Linked DNA regions of Xenopus tropicalis. The protein of the gene in region 2 purifies or fractionates together with the protein of the main gene of each other region. This does not show direct contact. Links are inferred from orthologs where the notes say so. Each region holds a gene or a part of one and is shown on either strand. Other genes may lie near its edges.

Evidence for each region.
Region 1: the proteins of itga3 (region 2) and cd9 purify together in Homo sapiens (affinity purification with western blotting; 3 studies listed by BioGRID and IntAct, with this or other methods). This does not show direct contact. The link is inferred for Xenopus tropicalis from reciprocal best matches to the Homo sapiens genes ITGA3 and CD9.

The regions. Positions count from the first base shown.
Region 1 is NC_030679.2:18,570,448-18,574,378, forward strand, and holds the start of cd9 (CD9 antigen), read right to left. Parts: upstream 2,317-3,931; 5' UTR 2,269-2,316; coding exon 2,203-2,268; intron 1-2,202. UniProt on the Homo sapiens protein: Integral membrane protein associated with integrins, which regulates different processes, such as sperm-egg fusion, platelet activation and aggregation, and cell adhesion.
Region 2 is NC_030686.2:14,721,282-14,724,403, forward strand, and holds part of itga3 (integrin alpha-3), read left to right. Parts: intron 1-236; coding exon 237-338; intron 339-914; coding exon 915-1,028; intron 1,029-1,407; coding exon 1,408-1,506; intron 1,507-1,923; coding exon 1,924-2,049; intron 2,050-2,588; coding exon 2,589-2,699; 3' UTR 2,700-2,732; intron 2,733-3,122.

The DNA.
Region 1 (3,931 bases), on a different chromosome or scaffold from region 2:
ATATATATATATATATATATATATATATAGTAGGCCGGTATTTTTTTTTTTCAGAAAAGATGGCAACCCTATACCAGCTCCTTGTCCTTCCTGCTCTGCATCCACCACTAACTCTTCCAGATGAAATAATGATAATGGGACATGTCGGGAGGTGGGGCCTTTAACCCTCCTGGGGTACATAAGGCATTGAATACTTTAGGGCTAACAGGGAACAATGAACCAAGTAATTAAGCACAACCGAAAATACATTTATAGTCTATCAGGCAATTATGTTCTAAAGGTTCAGCGCTGTCCCACTTGTTGACAAATTCTAAGCACCCTGGGAGCCAGCAACCAGGGATCAGAATATGGGGCGCCTAAAACAGTTTAACCTATTCCCTGCCACTCCTAAGCTGACTTTCATCTGTTTTTTTCTGTCTGTGCAGTGCATACAGGCAACTGAGAAGTTGGCAGGTTGGGTTGGGGGGGGGGGGTGGTATACCAAAAACCACACTAAAAGAGTGACTTATATTAATGTTTAACCCTATCCTTCCTGCCTTTCTCTTGGCACACAGCAAGCTCTGTAGCAAAAATAGCCTTCAATGCTGATCTGGGAGAGTAAAACAGGGCCTTTAAGCCAAATATTTACACAGGTGTTGCATGGATTGTCTCCAAAGGGGCAGGGACCTTCCACCCCAACACCTTGCATCAATTAATAATGGGATCACATTTCAATGAATCAATATAATGCCCACATATTCTGCAGCCCCACACCTATGTTTTCCTGTAGGATCCCAGCTGACACAATATAAACCCATATAATTCATGGTTAGTTCACAGCTCATTGTGACTGCACCAGTTTCTGCGCATGAAAATGTATTGCTGATACACGATTCAGCATGGGTACTGTCTGTCCAGTTTTAAAGGGGTATGGTGCCAACTCTAATACCATAACAGTGCATTTTTTGTGGTCAGGCACGACTATAATAACTAGGGCCATATCTGGTGTATGGTGGTGACCCTAAGGTAACAGTACAACTTTAGATACTTCAGTTGTTGCAGAACTGAAACCACGAGCAGGGCTACACCATATAAGCTGCTGCTGTTTGTCAACACTGGGGCACTGAACCTTGCCCTGCCCAAAAGCATTTGCTCCAGCACTGAAGGAGTTATTTATTATACCAAAAAAAAACCTACAAAACCCCATGCAGGCTTTCAGTGTAAACATTCCCCAATCCTGTTTAACCCTCCACAATCCACCACTAAGCAGTTTATACAGAGAAAAGAATACGGATATACACATGTATGTCTTATTTTAGATTATAAGCTCTGATCATTGTACGTTGTTTGATGTGTACACTCTCCTACTGTACAGCCCTAGGAAATATGATAGGGCTTAATAAATATGCATTAACAATAATGATGGGCAGATTTTAATGAAACCTGAGCCTCCCCAAACCAACACCAACGCATTTACTACAAGAAATAGGATTGAGATATTATACACAAGGTTGGCACCACATTCGCCATGTATTTTTGGGGCATTATATATGGAGCTGGCATTGTATTTATCCTGCCATGTGTTGTGGGGGAAATAAAACTGCCACTGTATCCTGTCATGTGTTCTGGGGTAATATATATGGAAATGGCACTGTATTTATCCTGTCATGTGTTCTGGGGTAATATATATGGGAACTGGCACTGTATTTATCCTGCCATGTGTTCTACCATGTAGAAAGGCTTATGTGACACTATGCTGTTTCTCTGCCTGCACAGAAACGCAGGCAGAGACACAGCCTAGTGTGACATTAGCCATAATGTCTTTAATTAGCTTGCCCAAACACCAAAGTCACCCTCCACCTAAGATAATATTAAAACTCATAGCTTTACAACAAGAAACTCTGAAATATGGAAATCATATTTCCCCCATTGAGCCATATTTAAGCATTTTCTCATTTTCTTCTGATTTTACAAGCAATACACATATAAACCTATACCTGTATATACTTATGCCCATATATAACTGTACGTGTACCTGTACTACAGCGAATCCCTAACATTAATACTGTTACAAATGTATCACTAACAGCCAGTCTGAGCCCCAGGCAGCAATGCTACAGCACTATATCCCTTTGCGAGCTCCAAACACGCCTTTCCGCCCAGGGCTCCTTCTACTCTCCCACACCCGAGTCCCCCCAGCAGAACCTACAGACCGAAACTCACCCAGAAGATGAAGTTGAAGGCAAACAGAAGGTATTTGATGCACTTGATCCCCCCTTTGACGGGCATGGTGGCACTTTCCGGCTGGCGAACTTTGATGAAGTTGTTGGATCGGTGGAAGAGAGAGAGCTGCGCAGGGTGTGTAAATCCTGATTTACTCGGAGTGTCCTACACCCACGCCCACACCTCTTGGCTAATAACGCTATATTTTGCGCCCCCTACAGGACACTGCTGGCATGGCTTCTACCCCACCTTTCCCTTCTCCTGCTCTTTCGCCTTTTGACTGATCAGGTTTGGATAATTACTAGTTGATTTCTATAACGAAAATTACAGTGTTGGACAAATAGCCAGATATTTAATGTTTTTTAATAAAGTACCCCACTTTCTTTTACTTTTTTTTAAAGAGATATATACAAGTGACATTGCACCAAGAGAGTCGTGTTAAAACCCCTTTAAACTTTATGATCAAGACATTATTATACTATTATTATTATACATGTATTGTGACAGTCAGTGCTTCACCCCTATACCAGGCCCCTTAGCAGTTTAATATCTGCTTACTCTATTACAGCCCCCCTCCCCAATATAGCATTATATATCATGATTAATAAATTATTATTATTATATAATTATATATAAATATATTATATATATTATATATTATATAATTATATATAAATTATAATGATTAATAAATATTGACTGCATTATCATATCATATAGCCAAAAGGCCGATGCAGATACTGTAATGCATAAAAAGGCCGCTGCATGGCCCAAGAGTAAGATTCGCTCATCTTTCCCTCAATATGCCAGCTTTAGGAGGGTGATATCGTGCTAATGTTATCACTTTGCCCTAGGGCCAAACAATTGAATTACAATTAAGGGGATACAAAAGTCTGGGCGAGGACTGCATCAATGAGCGGATGTGTTCCACAATCCGACAGAAAAATTAAGCCTGCCTGATCAGCATCTGCCCGATTGTTGACCAAATATAGGTTGGGGAGGCCTGTTGGGGGTCCCCATACATGGGCGGGTAAGCTGCTAAATCAGTTTAAAGGGCCCTAATTGCCCATGTATGGTGACCCCCAACTGCACTATTTGACTGATATCTGGCCCTAGGGCCAAACAATCGGATTACTCCTATATTGCCCACGTTAGGTGGGCATATTCGTGGAAAGATCCATTCCATCTCTTATGGATCTATGTTGTACCTCCAAACTCCATGGGTGTGAAGGGGTTTTTGGGTTTTGCCAACCTTTTGTCAATTTGTGATGCACTGAGTATTATATAGTACAGTATAATATTTTTGTTCTTACTTTTTCAAGCGATATACCTGATCTGAGGGGGTGTCAAACTATCATCTATGACCTAACTGTAACAAGTTTTTTTCAACTTCAAAAAGTTAATTCAGTTTTGAGGGCTGCTACCTGTTGGGGCAGTCAGAATACCCAGTCAGTATCACGGAGCAGGGACGGGGTGGTAGGGGGGCAGCCTGACTGCAGGTGGTCGGCACACATCACCTTTCTTTCAAAGGCAATGATAAGTATTTGTCAAAAATAAAAATGTTTCACAAAGCATTTTCCTTACATGGTTTTTATTTATCCAACGTTTCAGTTCTTCACATGAACTTTCTTCAGGGAGAAAGTTCCTGTGAGGAACTGAAACGTCGGATATATAAAAACCATGTAAGGAAAATGTTTTGTGAAACTTTTTTATTTTTGACAAATACTTA
Region 2 (3,122 bases):
TCGGATTCGTGGGTTAGTAAATCAGCCCCTTAGACTGCACACTGAATCAATACCTCCTTTATAGATGCCATATAAGACTACAGGAAATCATTTTGCATTTCATTTTTATTATTATAAAACCAATATAAAGGAGTAATAAATAAGTTATACCAGCTCAGTCATATGCCCTTCATCTTACAGATGAGAAAACAAAATATTTCCCTTAATTTAGGTAATATTATATTTGGTGTTTGCAGGTTTCAGAAACTTTGGTTAAAAGAAGGAGAAGACAAATTGATGAGACACCAGATGTTCGGACGTTGGCGGCTGTCAGAAGAGAAAGCTCTGAAGCTGTACTGGTAAGAAACCTTTTGGCCAGTCAGAGCTCGCTCCATGGCTAAGTGAGCAAGAGGCTCCAGGTTTAGGGTCCATTATTAGGGTTCATTATTTCTGATTGGGCAGAACATTAAAGAGCCTATTTAAAAGATTAATCCATTTGACAACTGTAATAAATATAGAAATGAAGATTGGGCCAATTGGCGCAATGATTAACCCCCCCCTCCCCTCAAAATTTTTAATATTGATGAATATGCCACTTAAGGTGATGTACCGTGGCCCGCCTGATATCCAAGTACTATCGGGCAAAATCAGGATTTGGCAGGTCTGAAAATTTCATCTGACAAATGTGAAGAGGAGGCGTGTCTTTTAACCTCCCCGATCTTCCAACTGTTTGTGTACCGACTGATCGCAACAACAGAGAGTCGACCATATCCTTCATGCATTCTCCGTCAGAGAGCATACTAGATCGGCCTATGCATGGCCACCTGTAGTATTCTGCCAAAGTGATTCCAAAAAGACCCAGACTGAATCCTGTATTCAAACCATTCTTATATTCAGTATCATACACATCAAGGTGACTCTTTGCCTTTTTCTAGAAATGTTCCGGAGGAGGAGCAACGTGTGTGCATTTTTCCTGTCCACTGAATGACATGCAGTCAAGAGCAACCATCAGTATGCGGGGAAGAGTTTGGAACAGCACCTTTCTAGAGGTGAAAAAGATTCTCAATCCAGTTACTATCCAACCTGCTGCTCTAGCAATAGTTTAAACTACTGGAATCTGAATGTTTCCCCTCTTTTAGAATTTGATGAGTCCAGTCTCCTCTGTTATTCTTTTACCCTCAAGAGGAGTTTGTTTGGAATGCTTGAGAGCACAGGCAGCACTGATACAATTATTTATAAGTGTTTTAATGTGCATCATTACTGTTTTTGTTTGTTACAATCTGGTCAGCTTAATATAGTACTTAAGAAATACAAACCTTGACTGATGTAAGCTGTTGGTGTAGGGTTTTTATGCCATTTTATAATTCACTTTTCAGTTTAGCTTAATTTCTGCTAACCTTACCTTCATCATCCCAACTTCCCCCTCAGGATTACAGAAATGTAGATCGAGTGTGGGTGATGGGAGGAGCTGAGCTGTACCTGAAAACTGATGTACCCACCATTAACATGAAGAGCCAGTTTGTGACGGTATGTAGAGAAATACAGACAAAAAAAATCTGTCAATTGTATGTTCAGCATCAGTGGCTAAGGACAAAACAAGAAGGGAAATGGGTGTATCTGGTTTGATAACTCTGATCGGTTGTTTGTATTTGTATGTTATTACTTTTGGCCATAATCCTTGGGATGGCTTTATATTGCATCCAGTGTTATTAGTAGGACATGTCCTTCTGAAATGGTTCTAAGTCTTGTAGAACATGCCATCTACAATTTCTGAGAGAGATGTTTGGGTTCCAGGTTGGGTTTCCATTAATTAGGAAATATATATATAAGCCAACTGTATTTGTTCTGCCTCCACTACTTTATATCTGCATCTGCATTGGGTCCTAAATTATCTACCTCTCCCATCCCAAAATGTTCTAATTTTTTTTTTATTCTTCTTCCCAGTTCTCTGTTTCCATAGACTCAGAACTTGAGGAGCCCCCACCAGCTGAGCTGCCACTCTGGTTGATCATTGTCTCGGTAGTTTCTGGAATTGTGCTCCTTGGTATAATTATCTTGCTTCTATGGAAGGTAAGTACCCAAGCCAAGCATCCTCCATCTAACTTTCGCGTCTCACCACCAGAAGCAGATATGTCCTGCATTTTAAAATGCACCTTTGACCTCACTATCTTTTTCTTGTAAGCTTTGATGAGGTGTTTGGTGAGAAATGTTGCATCTTTGCCTTTGATCCAGCTTATGATCAGGCAGCTATACTGTTGATTTTCCAATCTCTTACACTGTTTCAGATAGTAGTGTCTTGCAGTGCAAGCCCAGTATAACACAGTAGCCAGAAACTGACCATAGGCAGGACTACCTTGTTTGCTCAGTCGATTGAGGTTGAATTAATTTTCTCTTCCTTGATCTAACAATATCTCCTCTGAAAACTGAAGCTTTCACCTCTGCTAACCACAATCTCTGGCGTTTGGGTTCAACTTCTCCTGCTTTCGGATCACTTCTTTTTACTGCAGCAGCTACGTAATATAACTTAACAGAGCTCTAACTTCCAGTCTAATTTTTCTAAAATCTTCTTTGGGCTCTGGTTGGCCCCTGACCAATATCGTGCTTTTTAGTGTGGATTCTTCCGGAGGGCCAACACCCGCGCCATGTATGAGGTCAGAGGTCAAAAAGCTGAAATGAAGGTGCAGCCATCGGAGACAGAACGCTTAACCCAGGACAACTGAGTTCAACCTCTGACCCCTGACCCTCCCCCTCGGGTAACCAGGCTATGAGTGTCAACTCACAACTTTCCAGGACCCTTACTGAGTCACTTCTAGTTTTCTATCTAACTTTTTTACTAAGGCTGTTTACAGGCAAGCCAACTTGTTCAGCTCAAAACAAGTGTTCAGCAAATGGAAGTGTGGTACCAGAACTGAAAATATGGGTAACCAATACGCTTCAGCGATGTGTGTACAGAAGTATCATCCAACCTAGAACCCACTATTCTGTACAGTGAGGTGACCCATAGGCCTTTAGGCCATTTAATAAGATTGGTGCAGTCTGGCCATCCATTTGCGTGTCCATATTTTACTGATCTGGCTGATTGGTTGGCTTGCCATGTGTGCAGCCAGCAGCTGAAATAATTTTGTGTGTTTTTCTATATTCAT